7 linked regions of the Ovis aries genome follow. The protein of the gene in region 7 purifies or fractionates together with the protein of the main gene of each other region. This does not show direct contact. Links are inferred from orthologs where the notes say so. Each region holds a gene or a part of one and is shown on either strand. Other genes may lie near its edges.

Region 1 (3,231 bases), on a different chromosome or scaffold from region 7:
TTACTCCCGGGCCCCCACTGGGCAGCAGGCTGGCCCTCCTCTTCTGACCGTCCCCCGGCTTTTAGGAGCAGACAGTCCCAGCTGCAGCAACGGCGTCGCCTCCACCAAGAGCAAACCGAACCACAGTAAATACCCTGCACCCAGCTCCTCCTCGTCCTCATCATCCTCATCATCCTCCTCATCTCCCTCCTCAGTGAATTACTCTGAGTCCAACTCTACAGATTCCACCAAGTCCCAGCCCCACAGCAGTACCAGTAACCAGGAGACCAGGTACCTGTTCTGCTCAGCTTCTTCTCTCACTCTGTGCCCACTACAGCCTGTCCTGTGAGCAGCCCCTGCCCTGTATCCCCAACTTCCCCACCAGCTCTGTGCCTGGAATAGTAGTTGTGGACCTGCCAGGCCAGACTTTGGCTCCAGCTTCCCATCTAGCTCGTGATTCAGCTGCTGCTTCCCTTGGCCCCATCTTTCTCCAGAGCTGCTGGCACTGAGAATGTGGTTGCCTCCAAGGATACCAGGCCTCTCAGAAGGCCCCAGGGACTATACCAAAGGAGTTTTTTCTGGGCTCAGTTCTCAGCCAGACAGTTTGGGCCGGTAGAGGTTGTAGACTGCAGACTGTAGGTGGCTCTCAGCGCCCCAGCATGCTTCAAGGCTGACCCAGGTTTGGCTCCCAGACATGCCTGTCGTGACTGGTCATTGGGGGTCTAGAGGTGCATAGAAGGAGTGTGCCAACTCAGAGGAGGGCTGGGGGGGCGAGAGTCACAGAGACAGCGTCGGAACTGGAGTGGGAATGAGGTGACAAGCCTTTGGGGATGGCTGGCGTCACAGTAGGGTCCAAGTGTTGGAGCCTGGGAACCTGGGAGCTATCCTTTCATGCCCTTTGGGGACCTCAGTTTATCCACAGCAGCCTGTGGCTGAAGCCTCGGTGGAGGCCCACCGAGGCTGCTCCAACCACATTCCCTTAGCCAGCTCCCATCTCCACCCTTCTCCACAGCGACAGTGAGATGGAGATGGAGGCGGAGCATTACCCCAACGGTGTGCTGGAGAGCATGTCCACACGCATCGTCAATGGTGCCTACAAGCATGAGGACCTGCAGACGGATGAGTCCAGCATGGGTAAGGCTGTGCCCTCACCTGCCCACTGTTCCGCAGATGGCCGTGCTCAGTCCCGGTGCCCTCTTCCCTCGGTGGGGGTAAGGGTGGGGCTGGGCAGGCTGATCCACTGCCTCTGTAGCCATCACAAATGGGTGTTTGCGATGGGAAGACCTTGGCCTGCTGCCCAGGCTGGGTTCCTTCATTAGTGGCTGGAGGGGGTTGGTGAGAGCAGGTACCCTTATGAACCCCTTACATCTTGCACAGGGTGGGAGAGGAAAGCTTCCAAGTCCTGCCTGACCCCTAGACCCTATGCTGGGTAGACTTAAGAACGGCTCAGCTTGGTGTGGCCCCCCTGCGCCTCTTAGCCCTCGCTTGCCTCCACCAGAAGGGCACTCACCCCCATCCCCAACCTAGGTCCTTCTTGCCATGTTCTCTTCGGGGTCCCCACCCTAGTCCTCCCTTGTTTCTTTGTGCCCTCCCAATGTGCCCCCTGCTGGGCTCTGGGTGCAGATGATGGGCATCCGCGGCGGCAGCTCTGCGGGGGCAATCAGGCAGCCACGGAAAGAATTATCCTGTTCGGCCGCGAGTTGCAGGCACTGAGTGAGCAGCTGGGCCGGGAGTATGGCAAGAATTTGGCCCACACGGAGATGCTGCAGGTATGGAGCAAACCAGGCTTTTGTACAGAGTGGGCCCCTGTTTGGTAGTAGGGGCGTGTGGTGACTCTGGGAGGGCACTGGGGGCAGCAGCAGTAGGAGAGAGTGAGCTCTAGACAAGACCGTGGTGGGAAGTGGGACATCGGGGTACTTTGTGCCCTCCCTGACACCATGCAGGGCCCCGTATCCCCCTGAAGCCATGGGGCGTGTTGGTGCGTACCACAGTCCTCTCAGAAGTACCCTGTTCCTTAGGATGCCTTTAGCCTGCTTGCCTACTCAGACCCCTGGAGCTGCCCAGTTGGCCAGCAGCTTGACCCCATCCAGAGGGAGCCTGTGTGTGCCGCCCTCAACAGCGCCATTTTAGGTAAGTGGCTCTAACGAAAATAAGCTGTCCCAGGAGTGCCTGGGGTGGCCCGTCACCCCTCCCTTGTTTGTCCAGATCAGGGCAGGGAAGTCTGCCTAGAGGCCCTCTGGTGGCCCGCAGGACTCTTGGGCTCCTGTGACAGAACCCTGACCTCCCTCTGCCCAACTGAGTCGGCCAGCTAGATCACAGTAGGCCCTAGACTATGACGTGGGCCCAGGCCAGCTCATTGCTCCAAAGAAAGCTAAGGTCCACAGGGCCATAGCCTGGTGGTTTGGACACACATGGAGGCATATGAACTCTCTCTTCCGAGAGATTCTGTCCACTCTCCCCAACCTTCTGCTCCCAAAGGAACTTGGATCTGGGCTCAGCCCTGATCAGGGCAGTGACCAGGTCTTGTCTTTTCTCCACAGAGTCTCAGAACCTGCCAAAACAGCCCCCGCTGATGCTCGCCCTGGGCCAGGCATCTGAATGTCTACGGCTCATGGCCCGAGCGGGCCTGGGATCTTGCTCTTTTGCCAGAGTCGACGACTACTTGCACTAGCTGACCACACTGGCTGGCCCCGCCTGGCCCTCCCTCGGCCCCAGGGCTGGAGCAGCCCTGCTCTCCATCGGCACCTGGTGCAGGGACCCAGAAGCCACGGGCAGAGCCCACTCCTCCTGCCTGGCCTCTTCTGTTCCTTTCCTCCCTTCCTTCCTTTCTTTTTCTCCCACCTTCAGTCTCTCTCTCTCTCCCTCCTTCACGTGCAGCGGCCTATGACACAGAATTGGCTGGTTACTGTTCATGTAGCGCCTTCTATTTTGAAAGAGGGGGGTTGTTTTGAGGAGAGGTTGGGGTTTTTTAATCTTTTTCTTTTTTCCTCTCCTCCTGACTGAGCCACCAGTATTTATCTCTGGAGAGTTTGTGCTGAGCTGGTTTCTGCTAATTTAGTGATGAAGCCTATCCACGTTGGTGATAGCTTATTATTTTCATAAGTAAAAAAAATGAGATTATATATATAAATATATATATTAAAAAAAGACAGTATTTATCGTAGTGTTAGTGGTCCAGCACCTCTTGGGTGAGGCTGTCCAGACACCATGTTTTTATTTGAGTACAACTCATCAAAAAAGAATCATCTCTGT
Region 2 (4,029 bases), on a different chromosome or scaffold from region 7:
GGGCTGTGAAAACCCCAGGGCCCCCAAGCCTGATCACCTCCAGTTGGAGACAGATACCTGTGCTCACCTACCTGAAGCGCAGGAGCCCCTCCCGGCCATTGGTGGCCTCTTCCTCGGGAAATAGTAGCAGAGGGGTAGGGGGAAGCCTTGTTGAAGCACAGAATCTCTTGAGTGACTCCACCAACTCGCCTTGACCATCCATCTCCATAAAGCCCCGAGACCAGCACACAAAGCTTGGGGGACTATTGAGTAGAGGCTGGGCACCGGAAGGAGAGAAAGCAAGAAGAAAAGAATGCTGTGAAGTGAGAAAAATTGACATATGGGTAGAAAAGCAAGGTCGGGGTAAGGGTCAGTATCTTGTGGTCCCCATGGGAAACCCGAACACGGAGAGGGGTGCCTTGAGCTGGGCCCCAGGGAGCCACTCCGTGGCACTCTCGGCTTCCTCCCTAACTCACGGTGCTACAGCTGGTGAGCAGGTTGACTATGTTGTGGTCGAAAGGTGTCACGTGGTTGGAAATGAGGACCCTGACACGGTGATCCCGCAGTCCAGAGTCCTCCTGCCGGGCCACGAGCCCCAGCACTGCACACATGGTCCGTACCACGAACCTGCGAACGCAGGCAGTGGTGACTACCTGGCCTTGGGCCAGGCCCAGCCCCAGCCCTCCCCGAGCGCCCGGGTCGGAACCTGCGAAAGACACTGTCTGGTAGCGCGCAGCTGACCAGGAAGACGTGGATCCCAAGAAACAGGCGCAGGACGAGGAGGCAGAACCCGACTGGAGCGTAGAGTAGTAGCGCGAGGAGCAGGAAGCCGTCACCCGGGAGCCTGGGGGCGAGAGGCGGGGTGATTGGGCGCCGAAGGCCAAGTGGACGCGGAAGTCGGTCTCTTCCCGCCGGGGTTCTTACCGGTGCGAATCAAAGAGCCGCTCCGGCCCCGGCGACGACGGAGGCTCCATTGCCGCTGCTTTAGGATTGTCTGGCCGCTGCCGCCATCTTTGCGCCCCGCCGCAGGGGCTCTTGGGAAGGCGGAGTCTTCGGGCATCCGCCCAGGGTGCCGGGACCTGAAATTCTGAGGCGCCCCGGAAGGGCTAGCGGTCCCATCATGCCTCGCGGACCCGTGGGCCACCTCATAACTCGCGTCCCGCGGGGACCACAATTCCCGGCATTCGCGGGGCGGGGGCGGAGTTGGCCTCCCGGAATCCTGGGTCCCAGCGTGCACTTCTGGAGACTTCAGGTACCGGCGTCCTCAGCGTCCAGCTGCCCTCCTGGTCGCGTCTAGGGCGCCGCCTCTGCGCTGGGCGGGCGAGGAAGCCGCCGAGGCGGAGCTGATGGCTGCACTGAGGGCGGGGCGGGGTGCTGGCTGGAGCCTCCCGGGATGGCGGGCTTTGGGTGGGGGTCTCTGGGGAAAGGGACCCCTGTTGACCCCTGACCTCCGGGCCCTGCTGACGTCAGGAACTCCTGACCCTCGGACCCGAGTGACTTATGGGACCCCCAGTTTCAGGGCCCGGTTGTCTGTGGGGGTCCCTGAACCACGGACATGCCTGAGGTCCTGGACTTCGGATCTCCGAGCACGGCTGATCGCTGGGACCCCAGATCCCCGGACTCCGGAAGGCTCCGGAACTCCCGGAACCCGTCCGCGCGTGTGGCTAGCGGTGGCGCTGGGCGCTGGAGGGGCGGTGCTGTTGTTGTTTTGGGGCGGAGGGCGGGGTCCCCCGGCTGTGTTCGCCTCGGTCCTTGGCTCGCCGCCCACCTCTCCCCGGAGCCAGTACAACTTCATCGCGGACGTGGTGGAGAAGACGGCCCCTGCCGTGGTTTATATCGAGATCTTGGGCCGGTAATGGTGGGGGTAAACACTAAGGCACCGAAGCCGCGGGCTAGAGGGCGGGCGAGAAGGATGGGTCTGAGCCTCCTCACATCTGTACTGTCCCCCCGCCCCCCTTTTTCCAGGCACCCTTTTTCGGGCCGCGAAGTCCCTATCTCGAATGGCTCAGGATTCGTGGTGGCTGCCGATGGACTCATCGTTACCAATGCCCATGTGGTGGCTGATCGGCGCCGAGTCCGTGTAAGGCTGCCTAGCGGCGACACGTATGAGGCCGTGGTCACAGCTGTGGATCCCGTGGCAGACATCGCCACGCTGAGGATTCAGACCAAGGTGGGGGTCGGGGCAGGCCATGTCTGCTTGGGACTGTGAATTTGTTCACATCTCCAGATGCCAGGTCTCTTGTACCCATTCTCCCTTAGGAGCCTCTCCCTACGCTGCGCCTGGGACGCTCAGCTGATGTCCGGCAAGGGGAGTTTGTTGTTGCTATGGGAAGCCCGTTTGCACTGCAGAACACAATCACCTCCGGCATTGTCAGCTCTGTTCAGCGTCCAGCCAAAGATCTGGGCCTTCCCCAAACCAATGTGGAGTATATCCAGACTGATGCAGCTATTGATGTGCGTCCTGATATAAGAAAAATGAGACTAGGTTGGGAGAGAGGGGAGGGGTGTGTGGTACAGGCACCAGTTGTGATAGATGGTGGATGAGCCTATATACTGGGATTGGGTTGCAAAAAATGTGGCCACTCCTTCACGGGCTGGGAAAGGAGAGGATTTGGAGAAAGTGTCTACATCCTGATTGTGCCCCGAGGCATAGAGTCCCTGGATCTCTGCCATATTTTCTCCTTGTCCTGCAGTTTGGAAACTCTGGAGGTCCCCTGGTTAACCTGGTGAGTGTGACATCCTTTCCAAGAATCCCTATCTCAGGTCAGTATGGGAAGAGGTGGGTTTCCCCTAATTCACTGGTGTTTGGTCAAGTTTCTGAGCAGTTTCTTGTTGGCTGTCTCCCAGAATCCAACTAGATCTCCCCCAAAACTCCCTCCCACTCTTGCTCAGGTACCCCCATCTCCTATTATTTGTCTGGGCTAGAGAATAGTGGGCTGTGTCCCAACAGGATGGGGAGGTGATTGGGGTGAATACCATGAAGGTCACATCTGGAATCTCCTTTGCCATCCCTTCTGATCGCCTTCGAGAGTTTCTGCATCGTGGAGAAAAGAAGAGTAAGCCTGGCTTTTGGGGAAACGGGTTTCTTTAGTGGCAGGGGTGGGGAGGGTTTGCTGGAAGAGGGGTCAATTGGGAGGAGGAGGGGAAGTAAGGATATACCTGGGTGGGGCTCATTTGTCCTTCTAACACAGATTCCTGGTTTGGAGTCAGTGGGTCCCAGCGCCGCTACATTGGGGTGATGATGCTGACCTTGACTCCCAGGTATGAGCTTTAGGGGTAGTGACACGTAGGGCCATCAGTGTAACCAGTGGTGGGTACCTGGCAGTTCTGTTGAGCTTCGTTCTTAGTTCTGTTTTTATCTAAGATGAGTTGCCTCATTCCTCTCTCATTATCTTGATTTTTCTCACCTCACTCTATTTTGCATACCTTCCATCCTGTTATTGCTTAGATTTACAATAAATACCCAACCTTCCAGATGTGGCTTCCCTATGAGTATTTTCTGTTCCAGCCAACTTGATTTCCTAATCCCGTGTTTTTATGTTGTTCTTGTTTTATATAGTTTAATATCAGATTGATTCTTCTAGGTTAAGCTAAAGTTATAGCACTTCCTAAGTTATAGCTGCTTTTAGGATTCTAGAATGACATTAGTGCTATTGATTTAACCCTGTGTGTCATTTGGAATGTTACCTTTTATATACACATTCTGCTTCCTAACTGCTAGAAGGCAAAAAGTGAATTGTTTTTGTATCAAGAGGATCTAGTGCACGTCCTGTTCACACGCTTGTCGGTGTGCTGATGAAAGATGTGAGGCAAACCCCGAATGGGGAGAGTGCCCTGTGACCAACAGAGTGATCTGTGTCCTTTCAGCATCCTTGCTGAACTACAGCTTCGAGAACCAAGCTTCCCTGATGTTCAGCATGGTGTGCTCATCCATAAGGTCATCCTGGACTCCCCTGCTCACCGGTGAGGGAGAGGCTGCGTTAGGAGGTGGAGATGGGTGGGGTGTATGCGCCCTTGAAGTGGGCCATCTAGTTCTTCCTTTATCTCTCT
Region 3 (3,503 bases), on a different chromosome or scaffold from region 7:
AATCCATGGACTGTAGCCTGCCAGGGTCCTCTGTCCATGGGATTTTTCCAGGCAAGAATACTAGAGTGGGTTGCCATTTCCAACTGAGGGATCGAACCCAGCTCTCTTGCATCTCCTGCATTGGCAGGCAGATTCTTTTTTTTTTTTTTTTGTATTGAAGGATAATTGCTTTACAGAATTTTGTTATTTTCTGTCAAACCTCAACACGAATCAGCCTAAGGTATGCATATGTCCCCTCCCTCTTGAAGCTCCCTCCCATCTCCCTCCCCATCCCATCTCTTTAGTTGATACAGAGCCCATTTGAGTTTCCTGAACCATACTACAAATTCACATTGGCTATCTATTTTACATATGGTAATGTAAGTTTCCATGTTACTTCTTCCATACATCTCACCCTCTCCTCCCCTCTTCCCATGTCCATAAGTCTCTTCTCTATGTCTGCTTCTCCATTGCTGCCCTATAAATAAATTCTTCAGTACCATTTTTCTAGATTCCATATATATAACAGGCAGATTCTTGACCACTGGGCCACCTGGGAAGCCCGTCTCTTCCTCTCCCCTCCCCCCCAAAATTATTCTTGTCTAAAAATAATCCTTTTATTTATTTAAAACTTTATCTTTACTTTTTAACACCAAAACATTTTAGCAATATTTTAAATGTAGTTTTTCACTTTACTTAATACTTTTCTATATTTTTAAAAAAGTAACTGAAAAAAACAAAATTCAGCTGAATAAATGTGAGGAACTAATTGGCTTTATACAACAATTCATGAATAGGGCAGCAACCCATCTAGCAGCTATCAGGGTGCTGTCAGGGGTTGTATAAAATGGAAGGTTTCTATAGGCTGGCAAGTCCGGCAAGGGAGCTATTAGCATAATAAAAGGAATGATTGGAGCTATACCCCAACAGAAAAGTATTAACAGTAAAGTTTAGAACTACATTAAAAATAATACTTCTGTCCCAGGCCTCCCCCACTCAGCTCTTTTTTTTTTTTTTTTTTTTTAAGAAACAACCCGCTGCCAAACCAAGCCTATTCCACAACAGCCAAGGACCAGACTGCAGATGAAACGGAAGCTGGGGCAGGGGCAATGGATGTAAGTTAGTGTTCTTAATCCTGGGAGCAGAAGGCAAGAAAAAAGAATTCTTGAAGAAAGTAGAAAAGTTTAGTAGCTCCAGGAAAAAAATGCAGCCCCTCCCTAGTAATCAGAGAAAGGCAAATATTTTCCCCCTCTGGGATAGGCAAAAAAGATGGACAGGGCAAATGTCCAAGCGGGGAGGGAGCAGAGGACTGGCCCACATCTGCCGCGCTTTTGGTGGGAGTGGAAATTGAGGACCAGAGCTCACTGGTGACGTAGACCTCATGTGACCAGGAGTCGACGTGTGCAGAAGTCCTGCTAGTCTGGTCCTTGTTCCCGTCTGGGTACCAGCTTCCTTCAGCAGCGGTAGCCGGTGGGGCCAACGGTGGGGAAGGAGAAGGAGTCTACTGGCTGAAAATTTTCAGGTTGGTGGCAAAATAGATGCTGCCTGGGAATTACTAGGGTGGGGATGGCCTAGAAGCAGAGATTTAAGGGAGCCTTGGAAAAGTCCAGCTCTCCACCTCCCACCTCCAGGTCTGCAGGAAATGATGACCCTTGGGAAAGGGACTAGGGGTCCCGGAAGAAGGACAAGGAGACCTGTGATAGTTTAAAAATAATCATCCTCTGCCACCTAAGGCCGCTTTCCCAACACCTCCCCTCCCCCCACCCCCAACCCCCCGTGTTAATGATAGTTTGGAAATTTGCTTTTCCGACTCCCTGTCTGATGGAAAATTCGAGTTAACTTGCACTATGGAGAGGGAGGGAAATGAGGGAAACAGAAGGTGGGAAAGTTTCCATAACCGGGAACCTTAACAGGAAAAGTCCGCCGAGTGCTCGCCCCACCCCCACTCTTACCCCCTCCCCCTCCCGCTTCCCGTGGGTCTGAGGTCTGCTATCCTGAAAAGGCCAGGAAGAAAAGTGACCAGATCCATACAGGAAGATGAGGGAAATGTTATAAACGCCCCTGGGGTGGAGGTGGGCAAAGGAGGGACTGAGGTCGTGGGCCCCTATGCTCTTCCCCCGCACCCCTCTTCCCGCAGCTTCCTTGTCTTCTGGGAGGGTCTTGCGTTCTGCCTTGTGTGAGAGAAATGGTTGAGAAGAACCTTGGAAACGGCTGGAGGGAGGGACGAGGGAGGTGAGGAGGTGGAAAATGGAGGTGAGAATGGCAGGCTCAGGGGAAACCCTGATGGCTGACGTATCCTTCTTGCTTCCTAGAAGTAGCTGTTTTCAAAGAAAAATAAGCAGAAGAAAAGAAAGGAAGAGGGAAAGAAAGGGAGACACAAGATGAAACCCTGTCAAAAAACTGAAGAAAAACCAGAAAATGAGAATGAACCAAAACTTGAAGAAGTACCAAAGCCTGAGGAAAAGCAAGAGGAGGAGCAAAAAACCGAAGGAACTTTTAGAGAAAGACTGATTCAGTCTCTCCAGGAATTTAAAGAAGATATACACAACGGGCATTTAAGCAAGGAAGATATGTTTAGAAATGTGAATGAAATTGATGCGATAAGGAGAGTCAGAAACAAACTTATAGTGATGCGTTGGAAGGTTAATCGCAACCATCCTTACCCCTATTTAATGTAGTTTACCTCGATTTCTGTTTTTTCTGATTGTTGACATTACTTTCTTTTTTGTTGTCCTGTATATCTCTGTCCATCTTTCTGCTTTTAACTTGTTGCTGTTAGTGGTTTAAGATGCATCTCATTGTTTATTTCAAACCAATCTACAAGTCTTTGCCTTTTAATAGGAGAGCTTTACTCATTTGTACAAAAAGAGATTCCTAACAGGATGTAAAATGTAAAAATGTTACTAAGTAATATGTGAATATCATATTTTTGAAAGGGGAGGGCGCATTTGTATATTCCATATATACACAGAAGAATATGTGAAGGATGAAAGACAAAAAATATAGTCAGTGGAAGGATTATGAGTGATTTTTTTTATTCAGCTTATTTGTATTTTTCCTTATTCCTAGAATGTACACACTTTATTGTTAAAAATAATAAAAGTTTTATAACAAAAAAGGAGTAACCAACAGTAGTTATTATATTTCTAAAGGCATTGAGACACAAAATATTAGCAGAATTTTAGAAGTAAATATGAACTCCAAATTACCAACAGACCTTTTAGCTAGAAAAATAAATTTTATATCTTTTCTCATTTGTAGTATAGAGATAATAACGATCTTTCTGGGATCTCATGAGGACCAAATAAGGTACTGACTGTGAGCTATATTTGATAGGCTTTTATTTCCATATGCCCATGTAGGATGCCAGATCCTTAAGAGATTTGTTTTAGGTATTTTGGAGAGAGAAGGTTAATTCTCACCTGTGCTTAAGAAAAAATCCAGACAGCTGTTAGGTGGGTACCACCTTTGTTTTTCTCTCCTCCTGTGCCTGCCCAACCTTCTATGCCCCTCCCCTTGATATT
Region 4 (3,500 bases), on a different chromosome or scaffold from region 7:
CCGATCCAGGGATCGAACCCAGGCCTCCTGGATTGCAGGTTGATTCCTGACCATCTGAGCCACCAGAGAAGCCACAGAGGAGCACACAGACTTACATGATAACATTAACCACACTGTTATTTCTGTTATTTATAACTGCAAGTAAGTTAGAAATAATCTAAATATTCTACAAAAGGAGACTAGTTATGTAAATTACACAGAGTAGAACACTATGTAGCCATTATATTTACTAATGTAAGGAATAAGACGTTTATAATACATCACTTATTAAAAGAAATCAGATTCAAAGCAAGATGATTCCTCTTTTTTAGTTAAAGCAACAAAAATTTCTTTGTGCACCTACAGTTCATGGGATACATAACCAAAATATTACTTCTGAATGGTGGGATGAGGGATGATTCAACTGCAGTGGAGAGAGAGGACTTTTTTATCCTTTTTTAACCATGTATTACTTTTCTAATTAAAGGCCAGAGGGGAAGTATTTACAAGTAAATTCCAATTCTTTTCTTATAGTACTAAACAGCTCTTTTAAATCTCTAGTGGGCTTTTGGTCAGGAAATTTTTTTCAAAAACCAAACTCAACATTCTAACTATAGTTGTTGTATCTGATGTAGGGAAGGAAAAAAACAAAAAACCGACTATGATTTTCCCAAACCTGTCTTATCCCTTTAAAAACAAAGTTTAACATTAAGTAAAATACAAAGGAACAAAATTTTAGCAATGCAAAATAACATTAGCTGAAGGAAAGTTATGACCAACCTATCCATATTGAAAAGCAGAGACATTACTTTGCCAACAAAGGTCCGTCTAGTCAAGGCTATGGTTTTTCCAGTGGTCATGTATAGATGTGAGAGTTGGACTGTGAAGAAAGCTGAGCGCCAAAGAATTGATACTTTTGAACTGTGGTGTTGGAGAAGACTCTTTGAGAGTCCCTTGGACTGCAAAGTGATCCAACCAGTCCATTCTAAAGGAGATCAGTCCTGGGTGTTTTTTGGAAGGACTGATGCTAAAGCTGAAACTCTAATACTTCGGCCACCTCATGCAAAGAGCTGACTCTTTGGAAAAGACCCTGATGCTGGGAGGGATTGAGGGCAGGAGGAGAAGGGGATGACAAGAGGATGAGATGGCTGGATGGCATCACCAACTCGATGGATGGGAGTCTGAGTAAACTCTGGCACTTGGTGATGGACAGGGAGGCCTGGCGTGCTGCAATTCATGCAGTAGTAAAGAGTCGGACACAACTGAGTGACTGAACTGGAACTAGACTGGAAGGTACTTTAAGCTTAAATGTTGCTAATAAGACAGAATGTTGCTATCCATCCAATGTGATAGTTCAGCCCCTTTCTCCTACAGATTCTATAGGAAATACTTAATTCATAGTAATGACAAAGCAACAGAAGCACCTCATATCTCTCATCAATTTGTTTCTTAAGCACAACTTGTGAAAGCAGAGTAAGAAATAACAGGTAAACATGATATGATAAAGAAATAAAAATCTATTTTATACCTACACAGAGGTTTTAATTTTATTCTATATATTAATAAAATATAATACATAATTATATAATAAACATATAAATACACATAAGTATGCATGTCTGTGTATATACATATGTGTATGAAGTGGAAGCGGCGGTGGTGGTGAAGTGGTAAAAACTCTGGAGTCAGAATACTCAGGATCAAATCCTGCTGTCACAGCTGAATGACCTTAGATGAGTTACACAATCCACTTAAAAATGGCTCCATTTCCTCTTTTACAAAAAGAGTAACTGTAACAGTAACTTCTCCACTGACTTATTGTGCAAATAACATGCAGGCTTTAGCATACAAAAATTATTCATCAGTTCAGTTCAGTTCAGTCACTCAGTCGTGTCTGACTCTTTACGACCCCATGAATCACAGCACGAAGGCCTCCCTGTCCATCACCAACTCCCAGAGTTCACTCAGACTCCATCCATCACTCAGTCCATCGAGTCAGTGATGCCATCCAGCCATCTCATCCTCTGTCGTCCCCTTCTCCTCCTGCCCCCAATCCCTCCCAGCATCAGAGTCTTTTCCAATGAGTCAACTCTTTGCATGAGGTGGCCAAAGTATTAGAGTTTCAGCTTCAGCATCATTTCCTCCAAAGAAATCCCAGGGCTGATCTCCTTTAGAATGGACTGGTTGGATCTCCTTGCAGTCCAAGGGACTCTCAAAGAGTCTTCGCTAACACCACAGTTCAAAAGTATCAATTCTTTGGCGCTCAGCTTTCTTCACAGTCCAACTCTCACATCCATACATGACCACAGGAAAAACCATAGCCTTGACTAGACAGACCTTTGTTGGCAAAGTAATGTCTCTGCTTTTCAATATGCTATCTAGGTTGGTCATAACTTTCCTTCCAAGGAGTAAGCGTCTTTTAATTTCATGGCTGCAATCACCATCTGCAGTGATTTTGGAGCCCCCAAAAAATGAAGTCTGACACTGTTTCCCCATCTATTTCCCATGAAGTGATGGGACCAGATGCCATGATCTTCATTTTCTGAATGTTGAGCTTTAAGCCAAGTTTTTCACTCTCCTCTTTCACTTTCATCAAGAGGCTTTTAGTTCCTCTTCACTTTCTGCCATAAAGGTGGTGTCATCTGCATATCTGAGGTTATTGATATTTCTCCCGGCAATCTATGGTACCTATTATCATCATTAAAAGCTGTCTCTCCCCCCAAACTGTAAATTTTAATTACAATCTAACACTATTAGCAACCAAGGGAACAGATGTATTTTTCTACATTTTTCAGTAGCTTATCATTTGCTAAGGCTAAAAAACAAACAAGACTGAGGAGATATATATGAAAATGTTTGATTACATGATTTTGAAATTATATTGCAAAAGTAATGATGCAAAACTATAATATTTTAAATTGTATTCTGAAACATCAAAGTATAAAGAGAGTATTTAGTCAACTATATCATCATATTTACTGTTAAGAGAATCAACAATAGGTCAGTCAAATGCCAATAATTCTAGAAATGATATTATTTGTAGTGGGTTAGGCCTTGAGTTACTTGAAGGTAAGTTCATCATGTTCATAGAAACTTTTTCCATTATTTTGACAGCTGCAATATATCCTTGCTTATCTTTAATAACTTTTAGCATTAAGATCTATCTTCACTTTGTACCTTTCTTTAAAAAAGAAAGAAAAAAATAAGGAGAGTAACAGGGCATTTACAAAAGTCACGATCTTCACAATATTTACACTGTCGTGTCACTAAATTTCCAAAGATAAAGTCACATCTCCAAAGCTTAGGTAATATCAACAATAGCTGATTATGCTAAATGAAAGTTTTTAGTGAATTATTTTTATACCTGTGTTTTCTTATGAGGTACTTGCAATGCCGCAGTAAGTAATCTTTTGAAGGCCTACACAATTTCAGTGACCAGAAGTCATCTAATCTCATCTTTGGGGAGCATGATTTTCCTGGATTCCCACCAAATAAATAATGAACCTATAATAAATAAAGCA
Region 5 (3,500 bases), on a different chromosome or scaffold from region 7:
GCATCGCCCCTGGGTTTCAGGTGGTGCATCTCAACGCCGTCACTGTGGACAATCGCCTGGACAACCTGCAGTTGGTGCCGTGGGGCTGGCGGCCCAGAGCCGAGGAGGCCTCCAGCAAGCAGAGGTAGGTCGTCCTGGGGCCTGGCAGTGCGGCCCCGCCAGGCTCGCTGCCAAGGGAGGCTGGCTCGGCTCTGGCTCTGCGGCTTCTGTGGGTCTGGGAGTGCTGGTCATCTCCCTCCAGGTGTGCAGGCAGGACAGTGCCTCCGAGGTCAGCTGGGCAGCCTGCGCCCCTCCTTGGTCCAGACTCCAGTGTTAGAGCCTGATCCTGACTAAGGGGTCCTCACGTGGCTCTTGAAGGAGGCAGAGCCTCCTGACAGTTAGTTAGGGTTCTCATCCTCCTGGGGATTGTGGTAGTCTACACTTGCGGTTGCAAGTGACAGAAACTGAGCCCAGTTTGGCTGAAGCAAAAATAGGACCCTTGCTGGCTCCCCTGCTGAGATGTGGCAAGCCACAGAACCGCCTGGAGGTCTCAGGAGCGGCCACCAGGGCTGCACACTGACTGCTCGGCAGCGGCCCGCGGCACTGAGGAGTTGCTTGCTTCGGAGCACTTTTCTGCTCTGCTGGGGATAGGACGGTGGTTTCATCAGCAGAAAGGAAGGTTGGGGATGCTCTGGTGGCCCAGCGGTTAGGACTTGGCGCTTCCGCTGCGGCGGGCCCGGCTGTGAACCCGGGTGTGAACCCGGGCTGGGGAGCTCAGAGCCCACAGGTTGCATTCCTGTCGTTTACTCGCTGAGTCCCGTGCGACTCTGCGGCCCACGGACCCCACACGCCAGGCTCCGCGGTCCTCCACTGTCTCCCGGAGCTTGTTCAAACCCACGTCCATTGAGTCGGTGATGCCATCCAACCATCTCATCCTCTGTCGCCCCCTTCTCCTGCCTTCAATCTTTCCCAGCATTGGAGTATTTTCCAATGAGTTGGCTCTTTGCATCAGGTGGCCAAAGCACTGGAGTTTCAGCTTCAGCATCAGTCCTTTCAAGGAATATTCAGGACTGATCTCCTTTAGAATGGACTGGTTGATCTCCTTGCAGTCCAGGGGACTCTCAAGAGTCTTCTTCTGCACCGCAGTTCGAAAGCATCAATTCTTCATTGCTCAGCCTTCCTTATGGTCCAGCTCTCACATCCATACATGACTATTGGAAAAACCGTAACTTTCACTACAGACCTTTGTTGGCAAAGTAACGTCTCTGCTTTTGAATATGCTGTCTAGGGTGGTCGTAACTTTTCTTCCAGGGAGTCAGCGTCTTTTACTTTTGTGGCTGCGGCCACTGTTGGCAGTGGTTTTAGAACCCAAGAAAATAAAACCTGTCACTGCTTCCACTGCTTCCCCTTCTATTTGCCATGAAGTGATGGAACCGGATGCCATGATCTTCGTCTTCTGAATGTTGAGCTTTAGGCCAAAATTTTCACTCTCCTCTTTCACTTTCATCAAGAGGCTCTTTAGTTCTTCACTTTCTGCCGTAAGGGTGGTGTCATCTGCATATCTGAGGTTATTGCTATTTCTCCTGGCAATCTTGATTCCAGCTTGTGCTTCTTCCAGCCCAGCGTTTCTCATGATGTACTCTGCATGTAAGTTAAATAAGCAGGGTGACAATATACAGTCTTGACGTACTCCTTTTCCTAGTTGGAACCAGTCTGTTCCATGTCCAGTTCTAACTGTTGCTTCGTGACCTGCATACAGATTTCTCAGGAGGCAGGGAAGGTGGTCTGGTATTCCCATCTCTCTCAGAATTTTCACGTTTGTTGCGATCCACACAGTCAAAGGCTTTAGCTTTAGTCAATGAAGCAGAAGAAGGTGTTGGTTTGGAATTCCTTTGCTTTTTGTATGATCCAGCAGATGTTGGCAATTTAATCTCTGGTTCCTCTGCCTTTTCTAAGTCTACCTTGAACATCTGGAAATTCTTGGTTCATGCACTGTCGCCTCACTTGAAGGGTTTTGAGCATTACCTTGCCAGCATGTGAGATGAGTGCAATTGTATGGTAGTTTGAGCATTCTTTGGCATTGCCTTTCTTTGGGATTGGAATGAAAACTGACCTTCTCCAGTCCTGTGGCCGCTGTTGAATTTTCAAACTCTGCTGGCATATTGAGTGCAGCACTTTCACAGCATCATCTCTTAGGACTTGGAATAGTCCAGCTGGAATTCTATCACTTCCACTAACTTTGTTTGTGGTGATGCTTCCTAAGGCCCAGTAACTTCACACTCCAGGATGTTTGGCTCTAGGTGAGTGATCACACCATTGTGATTATCTGGGTTGTGAAGACCTTTTTCGTATAGTTCTTCTGCGTATTCTTGCCGCCTCTTCTTGGCCTCTTATGCTTCTGTTGGGCCCTTGGCGTTCCCGCCCCTTATCGAGCCCCCTCACACGGCTGTTCCCGCGGCGTCTCCAGTTCCCTTGCCCAGCTCTGCAGCCCCTGCCGTCGTGTTGGTTTCCTGTGTCTTTGCATTGTTCCCCTAAGAAGGCTTTCTTGTCTCTCCTTTTCTCGGGAGCCCTGCATTCAGCTGGGTGTACCTTTCCTCCTCTGCCTCTCACTCCTCTTCCTTCCTCAGCTCTCCGTAAGCCCTCCTCAGACGACCACGTCGCCTTGCTGCATTTCTCTTTCTTGGGGATGGTTTTGGTGACTGCCTCCTGCGCAGCGTGGCAGACCTCCGTCCATGGGTCTGCAGGCTCTCGGTCTATCAGATCTAACTCCTTGACTCTGTTCCTCACTTCCACTGTACTATCATAAGGGATTTGATTTAGGCCATACCCGAATGGTCTAGTGGTTTTCCCCACTTTCTACAATTTAAGTATGAACTTGGCAATAAGGAGCTCATGATCTGAGCCACAGTCAGCTCCCCATCTTGGTTTTGCTGTCTGCATAGAGCTTCTCCATCTTTGGCTGCAAAGACTACAGTCAGTCTGCTTTCAGTGCTGACCGTCTGGTGGCGTCCATGTGTGGGTCAGCCTCTTGTGCTGTTGGAAGAGGGTGTTTGCTGTGACCAGTGCGTCCTCTTGGCAAAACTCTGTTGCCCTTTGCCGGGCTTCATTCTGTACTCCAAGGCCAAGCTTGCCTGTTACTCCAGGAATCTCTTGACTTTCCACTCTAGTACTCTGATCCACTATGATAAAAAGGAGCTTTTCTTTGCTGTTAGTTCTAGAAGGTCTTGTAGGTCTTCCTAGAACTGTTCAAATTCAGGTTTCTTCATCATTACTGGTTGGGGCATAGACTCGGATTACTGTGATGCTAAGTGGTTTGCCTTGGAAACGAACAGATCATTCTGTTGTTTCTGAGATTGTACCCAAGTACTGCGTTTCGGACTCTTTCGTTGACTGTGAGGGCTACTCCATTTCTTCTAAGGGATTCTTGCGCACAGTAGTAGATACAATGGTCATCGGAATTCCATTCGCCTATTCCTATCCACAGGTTGCATGGCACAGCAAAAAAATAAAATAACCCAAAC
Region 6 (3,926 bases), on a different chromosome or scaffold from region 7:
ATCTCAGACATGTACAATTTTAAAGCGCCTCTGCTTTCTTTTGTCAGAAAGGAGGAAGGTGGGGAAAGAACAGAAGGCCAATGCATCTTTGCCTTTCTTCATCTTCTACTAAAAATAAGCTATGAAATAAGCCACTTAGGGGAAGAAAAAAAAAGAAAGACACCCTGCTGTTCTTTGTCTGTTTTCTTCCCCCTCTCCACCCCCCACACCCCACTCCTAAATACGGTGATCATTCTAGATGCCACAACTACTAAATGAACAAAAGGCACTGTATGGAAAAGGCATCAGGTCAAGTAAGGCCTCACCCTCTTTATCCTCAGCCTTCTAAAAAAATATATGTAAGTATATAATTTGAGAATCTGACATTGATCAAAGACAGCTGGAATTCTCTCTCACCCCCATCCCAATTAAACATTAGGTAGAAATTTGCATTAGGTGTGACAGTAAGTCTCAATTCAAGATAAAAATAACTCAAGATTCTGCCACCATGTCATTTCCTAGTTTCTAAACAAAAATAAAACCCGAAACTGCTTTGTGTAAAATGTACACACAGCCATAGTTACAAGTTTTCCTGCCACCTTATGAAAAGCCAACATTACTGGTATTATTCACACATTTACAAAACTCAATCACAGCCACAAACAGCTCATAAAGAGTCAATTTCACTTGTGCCTAAACATATATTTGGTACATAATATATACTTTATTACTTGCTCCTCTAATTCCCACTCCCACCTCCCCCAAATTCTAAACTTCTAACCCTAAACTGAGACGTTCATGTACTGTTCCTAATTTCTAATCAAGTTTTCCTGAGTGAAGAGAAAAACATCTTATTCCTGAAAAGATTATGGGGTGGGGGGGGGCAGAGAAGAATCACTTGCCCAGGCAACTTCCCTTCCATCCCCCACTTCTAAACCAAATGAAAAAAACTACTTTTTTAAAACTTCAGCGAATTCTTTAAGTGAGTGTTCAACAATAACCATTGATCTCTACAAACTGGTAAAACATCCAATCAAAAACAGTAACAATAAAAGGAAGAAAGAAGGAATTCACCTGAAGAATCTAGCCAAACAACTTGAGTTATATAAACAAAACCCAGCAACAGGGGGAAATGGTGGGGGGATGGGGGTGAAGGAGAAACAGAAGCAGGAGACAGGACTTTTTAAACTGCGTTTCACACACTACCACTCTCCAGCCCCGGGTTCCCCCTCTCCCCAGGGATTCAGTCTTTCAGAACCCTGGGCTCCTCTCTCTCATCTCTCTCTAAATTACCCCTCAAAAAATGTCTCGATTTGTCACAGGAACCTTCGCGAATTTCTCTAGCTGGTCATGAAATAATCGGTCTGGACTCCAACCAAAACCACTGCCTGAAGGACTCTTATCAGTTAGAGCTTTCCCACTGCTACCTCCAAAGTACATAAAGTTGGGGTGGGGGGAGTAGGAAAATAAAGGGTGTCACTTGGCAAGAACAGGGCAGTTATTATGAGCACCTTATTCTCATACAGGGAGTTTGCTTAACTGGCTAGTGCAGGGGCTATTTGGTCAAGGAGATCCCCTTTTTCTCCTTCCCCCTCAGCTGTCATAGCCACAATATGGAGGGTGGCTTGCTGGAGGGCCTGGGGGTCCTCACCACATACTATGGGTGGGATAGGCTTTGTCGGTAGGAAGAAAAGAGTGAGGTTCTTCTAAGGACCAGAAAGCTTAATAGGGGTAGCTGATCTAAAATATTCAGAGCTCTTTAATACAAGAGGGGGGCACTGAGCAGACTACTCTCTTCCTAATATAGAAAGGAATTAGGGATAAAGGAGGTCACTTGAGTTACCCCAGTTCAAGAAGCACTGTGAGAGGAGGGAATGGAGGCATCTCAAGAAAAGGAGAAAGGCTTCGCTCTAGGGAATTTCTATCTCGAATCCCCAAATTCAGAGCGAGCAAACAGGAAAAAGAAGGTGGGCTTGGTGGTGAAGAGAGAGGGCTGGTACTGCAAAAAAAAAAAAAAAAAAGGCCCATTTGGGAGTCCAAATGTCGTGGAGAAAAGTCACGGGGGCTGAAGGTGCGGAAAGAGCGTGAACAACGCACATTTCGGGGTGCTGCAGATAAAGGGGGAGCTGAGAAGGATCTCGGCTCCTGGGAGGTGCCAAAGAGCCTCCGTAGGCACTGGGAGGAGGGAGGGGTGGGAGGAAGCCTTGGACAGTGGGCTGGAGTGCCCCTGGGCCCCTGATTAGGTTTCAGGGGGTGCCCCGGGCATCCCCATATCGTCCCCCACGTAGAACCCGAATTCCCCACCCCCCGCCCCGCTCCACGAAGGATACAGCTTGACCACGTCCGTGTCCATCCGCCTCTTGCCCGGACTAGGGGATGACATGGTGTCGCCGCTGCCTCCCCGTCGCCTGCGCCGCCGCCGCCTCTCGCCCTTCCTCAGCCCGCCTGTCACGGGCCCCGGGCCCCGGCTCTGAGGAGCCCGCGGCCGCGCCGGCTCCTCGATGGAGGTGGCAACACCCCCGCGGTCCTGTTTGGTCCCGTCAGCCGCCGCCGCCGCCGCCGCCCCCCGCACGGGGGGGAACACCGGGCACTGTCCGGCCGAGTGGGGGTGGGGACCCCGCGGCGCACGGCTCGGGCTGCCCCTCTCCGGCTGTGGGTTCCGCCGCGGCCCGGACCTGGCGCTCCTCTGCGCCGCGCGTCGCTCCCTCCTGCCTGCTCTAGCTCTCTCGCCTGCTCGCCCGCTCACCCTCTCGCCGGCTCCCAAGCTGCCTCCACGACAAGCGGACGACTCCTGCTCAATCGGCCTCTCTACCCCAGCCTCGCTCTGGGCGCCGTGACGTCACCTCTGTGACGTCATTGGAGGGGCGGGCCCAGCTGGCGAAAGGGGTGGGGTGCCGCGGCGGCGGCGTGAGTTTAGCAGGGGATTCTGGGAGTTGTAGTTCCTCTTTTTCCTGCCCGTCCAGCTTTCTGCCCCCCCTCCCCCAACTCCCTCACACTTAATCGCTCAACTGTCAGCGTCGTTGTCATCATCAAAAACGATAATGATTAAATAATGGCAGTATCATCATATTCATGTGTTTTAGGGTAATGAACCTCCTTCCCACATACACTGTTTAAAAGTCTGTTTATTTGATTTAAGGAAGCCAAGGTGGAAATTAACCCAGACAGTTACCAAAATCTAGAAATTCCTAAACCAGCAGGTCCCCTGCCCTCTGCTCCCACCTTGAAAGGAGAGAATAGCCAGGCTTCTTCAAGCTTGCAAATCAGGGTTTGCTATCCTTCATATGTATAGGGTCATTTTTTCAAGGATTAGAATTGAGACAGCATGATGGCAATTTAGTTGTAACATCTTTACACAGTTATGTGGTGATTTCACAAAGTGAATGACTGAAAGAAGCAGAAGTACCCCAAATATGCTGCTGTTTAGGACAAAGTTTGTTCTGCCTTCCAAACGTCTAGAGCAGGCCTATAACTTCATCATTCATTCAGTAAGCATTTATTGATCACCCATTGTGTGGTAATCACTGCTGGACATGAGGATATCATGGTGAACTAAGAAAGACTTTAAATTTACACAGCCCTCCCAATGTGGTCTAGATCTAGACTGTCAGCATCACCTGGGAACTTGTTAGAAATGCAGGCTAGAGCTTCACCTCAGACCTACTGAATTAGAATTTGCAGTTTAACAAGGTCCCCCGGTGATTCCTTTGTGCACTAAAGTTTGAGAGACACTGCTCTACAAGGCACTCCAAAAGAAGTGATGTGGAATCCAGGAGTCAACCAGGCAAAGAGGGCAGGAAGGAGTGTTCCAGGCAGCTCCTGTATTTATATCACATTTTTTTTCACTGCCATCTATTTTCAAAATTTTTATCTATTCCTTTGTCCCCATGAATACACTTGTAGTCTGTCAAACCACGTGCTGTGAGTTGGGTCCCCTTATGTAACCT
Region 7 (3,953 bases):
ATGATTCAAGTGGTTTAATGGTGGGTGATCCATGAAAGACAGTACCATTAACAGAAAAGGGAAGTCAGGACCAAGTTCTCTTAGAAGAAGGAATGTGCTTTGTTGGAAGTGATGGCTAACACCCACACAACTGAAGACATGAGACCAGATGGAGAACAGTCAAGGCTTACCATGCAGATGTGTGACTCGACTACAGTTAACGTTTTAGAATGTATGAAATCTCTCAGAGAGGTTGTGGTTAGTCGCTCAGTTATGTCTGACTCTTTGTGACCCCAGGCTCCTCTGTCTATGGAATTCTCCAGGCAAGAATATTGGAGTGGGTTGCCATTCCCTCCTCCAGGGGATCTTTCCAACCCAGGGATTGAACCCGGGTCTCACGCATTGCAGGTAGATTTCTTTACCATCTGAGCCACCAGAGAGAAGATATAAAGGGCCTTGAATGGAAATTCTCTAAACCATTTGATCTGCCCCTGGTGTGAATTATGTTTTTCAAGCTATGGAGTCATTCAGACCAGTGAGTTCCCTGAGGGTATGCTGAGCTCAATCATGCATTCCCTAAAGCATACGTTAAAGAGTGTTGTACACAGCTGGTACAAAATAAGTAGCCTATTAAAGGGGTCAATTATTTTCAAGATAATTTTTGATTATTAATTCCTGTTCCATCTGCATTTTGTATTTCAAAAAGTGGTGTCCTGGGTAGAACTTTGAAAGATCCAGGCTTCAGTTGAAATTATTATAATCAATAAGGTTTGACAGTTTAAATCATTTATCCAAAGCTCTGATTTCCCAAGGCTCCAGAACTGATGAACTGAAAGACCAGACCCTGAGACTCTGAAAACCTTAAAAAAAACAAAACAAAACAGGTGGTTGGAGGTGGAGGGGAAGAAAGGCCCAATGAGACTGGGGCTAAAGCAAATCCCCACTAGAAGTACAGAACACTCTTCAAGAAGTTTTTGCACAAAGTTTAATAGGAAATATTACTAAGGGAGTGAAAACAAACAAACAAAAAAATCAACTGTACCCTATACGAGTTGACGATGTACAAAAATAAAGACGCTTCAAGCGAAGTTAAGGATAAACGAGAATAATTAAAGGGAATTGAGAAAAGTGACTTAAAAACAACAGCATAATGATGGAAAAGTCATTGGCCTGTTCTCCCATAAAATGTTCCTAGGTGTCAGTCAGAGGTGTGGTAACTGAATCTAAATTCAATGCTTAGGTGAACATTATTTCCCCAGTCACAGTTTAAAAATTTAAAAAAAGGATTACTAAAATGGATCAGAGAAAAGATTTCTGTACAGCTCCCCTCCCTCCAAAAAAATTATCAAGGTGGAATATACCACAATTCTGCAACTGCAACAATGCTCTAAACGCGAATTGTTGCAAATGTGCTAACTGCTAAGATAGGTGAGTGTGTTTGTGGGAGAAGTCACCGAAGAGAAAAGAAACCAGTTGAAGCCACAGACTCACCGAACCTGACAAGTCACCTACAATCCAGCCACCCTCTCAACATCGGACTGACTTCCACGACAAGTCTAAAAGATGGTCAACCAGTCTTTGCCGGCTGGTTTCCAACTACAACAAATGGGCCTCTGGTAAACTGACTTTTCTCAGTTGCACAGCTTTCATTTGTTGCAAAACCCTTCTAAGGTACCTTTTAGTAACTTTCACCCCTGGTCCTGGTTCTCTCAAGAGCAACACAGTAAACGGTGAAAGTCGCGTTCTGGTTTTATTTTTAAACTTCAACAAGCAAACTAGGTTTGCTTTCTGGCATGTCAATACATTCCTTTTTTTTTTTTTTTTTTTTAACGTTTGACTCCCCTTGAAGGAAAGAGGAATGCCAAGCACAGGTTCCTTCAGACTCACAGGGCTGAGACCTCCACAGCAGAGCGGAGAAAGGGAGCTTAAATAACTACACACACTAGGAGACGTTGCAACTGATATGAAATACCCGTTGCCAAGAAGCAAGCAGCTCCAGCCCGTGACCGGGTGCTGGGAAGCGATAGAAGCCACACAGATCTGGCGTGGTAGCCCCAAGTCTGTGGGGGCCAAGGACCCTCTATCTCTTTTTGCCACAGCGGCCGGGGGGAGGGGTGGCTAAGTGGGCACTCATCCCCAGCTCAGCGGCAAGCCCGGCGCTTCACGGAGCAGAGTGCTCGGCCCCGGGGAACCGGCATCGCTAAGAGGAGGGCTCGGTGAAACTGGCAAAGCCCAAGCCGCGCCGCTGGGCCAGCTGCCCGTACGCCCAACCAGCCCGCCCGCCGGACGCCGTCCTGAGAACCGGCACCGGTGAGCGCTCCGGCAGTTGGAGACGTCTCGGGCTCGGCTGGGATCCAGTCTATCCCGCCCGCCCACCCTCTCTCACTCCCCGGCCCAGAGCTGAGCCAGAGGCCACCCCAAGGGGTGGTGCCCAAGAAGGCAGACGGCGTTGGTGGTGAATGGAGCGGGCTGGGCCCGAGCTCCCGCGCGGGCAAGCGAGCGGCTGCGGCGGGTCACTCACCGAGAGGACGCTCATGCGGATTGGGGTCTCCAACAGGCACGCCATCTTGAGCCTTCCCACCCGGCTGCAGCCGGCGCCGGCGCGGGGGCCGGCACTTTCGACAGCCGACTACTGGGCCAACCACAGGTACCTCTCCAGAAAGTCAGGCAGGTAGACGAGAACAGACCACCCTCTAGACACCGCTGAACTATGGCCAAAGCCCGCAGAGGGACGAGCAATGGGAAACCGCGCCAGGGGCCTCCTTACGAATCGTCCTCTCAGAAACGGCAGCTACTCTCAGCCTGGGTTAGAGGTGGGAGCGGGCAGCAGTTCCCGCATGCGCAAAGAAGATCTGCCGGCCCCACCTGCGGCTCGCGGAGGGAGGAGCGTCAGGGGCGGAGTCTCGCTGCAAGCTTCTTAGACTGATTCGTTACAATTTCTTGAGTTCCCGTTCTTACTATTCCAAAAGACTGGTGTGTGGACCCACCTACATAATTTGAAGTTCGCTTTCGCATTCATTATCTCACTCCTTTGCACCAAACTCCTAGCGTCGTTATTATCTCCGTCTTACAGAAGGAGAAACTGTGATCCCAGAGCCAAGTGTTTTGCCACCAGTAAGAGTGTGTCACGATCCGATGCTGTTTCAGCATTATCCGACTCTTTTATTCTAGTGTAAAGAATAGATACTCTAGAGCCAGAACGCCTGAGTTTAATCCTTGCTGTTTCACAGAGCTGCATTACCTGGGCATCTCCTATGCTTCAGTTTCCTCCTGTGTCAAATAAAGGGTTAGAAGAATGGAAAATGTAAAGCTCTTATAACATGCCTGAGACATAGAAAGCGCTGTATATGTGTTAGCGTTTCTCGAGCCGCTGAGTCAAGTAGAAAAAAAAAAAAAATGGGGGCAAGAATCTGATTAATTCACACTACTGCTCTGATCGTTGAAGCTAAATAAAAATATGCTTCTAATTCTAATTTCTGACTGACGAGTTCAGCTCTCTCATTCCATTTGTGTGGTTGTGTATATATGTGAACAAAGCTGCTCTGGATTTGGCTGAACAGGTTTCAACTTCATGCTGTTCGCAACCAGCGAGGTTTTCATAGGATGATTGCAATGAACCTATTATATATTACTCGTCCTCATGCCATTGGCCACCTCATGCGAAGAGTTGACTCACTGGAAAAGACTCTGATGCTGGGAGGGATTAGGGGCAGGAGGAAAAGGGGACGACAGAGGATGACCTGGCTGGATGGCATCACCGACTCGATGGATGTGAACTCCGGGAGATGGTGATGGACAGGGAGGCCTGGCGTGCTGCGATTCATGGGGTCGCAAAGAGTCGGACACGACTGAGCGACTGAACTGAACTGAACTGATGCCATTGCTGAAGACACTCCCTAATGCAGGCTGATATTACCTCTCCCCTGGACTAGGCTAATAGCCTTCCGATGGAGGTGGTAGCTCTAGCGTAGCTT

Evidence for each region.
Region 1: the proteins of ARMC8 (region 7) and RANBP10 purify together in Homo sapiens (affinity purification with mass spectrometry; 5 studies listed by BioGRID and IntAct, with this or other methods). This does not show direct contact. The link is inferred for Ovis aries from reciprocal best matches to the Homo sapiens genes ARMC8 and RANBP10.
Region 2: the proteins of ARMC8 (region 7) and HTRA2 purify together in Homo sapiens (affinity purification with mass spectrometry; 5 studies listed by BioGRID and IntAct, with this or other methods). This does not show direct contact. The link is inferred for Ovis aries from reciprocal best matches to the Homo sapiens genes ARMC8 and HTRA2.
Region 3: the proteins of ARMC8 (region 7) and TCEAL9 purify together in Homo sapiens (affinity purification with mass spectrometry; 3 studies listed by BioGRID and IntAct, with this or other methods). This does not show direct contact. The link is inferred for Ovis aries from reciprocal best matches to the Homo sapiens genes ARMC8 and TCEAL9.
Region 4: the proteins of ARMC8 (region 7) and MKLN1 purify together in Homo sapiens (affinity purification with mass spectrometry; 4 studies listed by BioGRID and IntAct, with this or other methods). This does not show direct contact. The link is inferred for Ovis aries from reciprocal best matches to the Homo sapiens genes ARMC8 and MKLN1.
Region 5: the proteins of ARMC8 (region 7) and ZMYND19 purify together in Homo sapiens (affinity purification with mass spectrometry; 4 studies listed by BioGRID and IntAct, with this or other methods). This does not show direct contact. The link is inferred for Ovis aries from reciprocal best matches to the Homo sapiens genes ARMC8 and ZMYND19.
Region 6: the proteins of ARMC8 (region 7) and UBE2H purify together in Homo sapiens (affinity purification with mass spectrometry; 3 studies listed by BioGRID and IntAct, with this or other methods). This does not show direct contact. The link is inferred for Ovis aries from reciprocal best matches to the Homo sapiens genes ARMC8 and UBE2H.

The regions. Positions count from the first base shown.
Region 1 is NC_056067.1:34,829,279-34,832,509, reverse strand, and holds part of RANBP10 (ran-binding protein 10), read left to right. Parts: intron 1-65; coding exon 66-270; intron 271-991; coding exon 992-1,113; intron 1,114-1,602; coding exon 1,603-1,748; intron 1,749-1,997; coding exon 1,998-2,109; intron 2,110-2,519; coding exon 2,520-2,650; 3' UTR 2,651-3,231. UniProt on the Homo sapiens protein: May act as an adapter protein to couple membrane receptors to intracellular signaling pathways.
Region 2 is NC_056056.1:96,382,737-96,386,765, forward strand, and holds the start of HTRA2 (serine protease HTRA2, mitochondrial), read left to right. Parts: upstream 1-1,229; 5' UTR 1,230-1,325; coding exon 1,326-1,831; intron 1,832-1,944; coding exon 1,945-2,149; intron 2,150-2,238; coding exon 2,239-2,433; intron 2,434-2,672; coding exon 2,673-2,705; intron 2,706-2,929; coding exon 2,930-3,035; intron 3,036-3,170; coding exon 3,171-3,240; intron 3,241-3,846; coding exon 3,847-3,942; intron 3,943-4,029. Other genes in the region: lipid droplet-regulating VLDL assembly factor AUP1, read right to left, coding at 72-256, 456-606, 686-823, 904-953.
Region 3 is NC_056080.1:128,953,242-128,956,744, reverse strand, and holds TCEAL9 (transcription elongation factor A protein-like 9), read left to right. Parts: upstream 1-1,396; 5' UTR 1,397-1,501; intron 1,502-2,291; 5' UTR 2,292-2,360; coding exon 2,361-2,657; 3' UTR 2,658-3,003; downstream 3,004-3,503. UniProt on the Homo sapiens protein: May be involved in transcriptional regulation.
Region 4 is NC_056057.1:96,864,284-96,867,783, reverse strand, and holds part of MKLN1 (muskelin), read right to left. Parts: intron 3,484-3,500; coding exon 3,344-3,483; intron 1-3,343. UniProt on the Homo sapiens protein: Component of the CTLH E3 ubiquitin-protein ligase complex that selectively accepts ubiquitin from UBE2H and mediates ubiquitination and subsequent proteasomal degradation of the transcription factor HBP1.
Region 5 is NC_056056.1:402,476-405,975, forward strand, and holds part of ZMYND19 (zinc finger MYND domain-containing protein 19), read left to right. Parts: coding exon 1-124; intron 125-3,500. UniProt on the Homo sapiens protein: May be involved as a regulatory molecule in GPR24/MCH-R1 signaling.
Region 6 is NC_056057.1:95,429,595-95,433,520, forward strand, and holds the start of UBE2H (ubiquitin-conjugating enzyme E2 H), read right to left. Parts: upstream 2,801-3,926; 5' UTR 2,363-2,800; coding exon 2,310-2,362; exon of another isoform or gene 1-2,309. UniProt on the Homo sapiens protein: Accepts ubiquitin from the E1 complex and catalyzes its covalent attachment to other proteins. E2 ubiquitin conjugating enzyme that transfers ubiquitin to MAEA, a core component of the CTLH E3 ubiquitin-protein ligase complex.
Region 7 is NC_056054.1:251,574,232-251,578,184, forward strand, and holds the start of ARMC8 (armadillo repeat-containing protein 8), read right to left. Parts: upstream 2,801-3,953; 5' UTR 2,546-2,800; coding exon 2,501-2,545; intron 1-2,500. UniProt on the Homo sapiens protein: Component of the CTLH E3 ubiquitin-protein ligase complex that selectively accepts ubiquitin from UBE2H and mediates ubiquitination and subsequent proteasomal degradation of the transcription factor HBP1.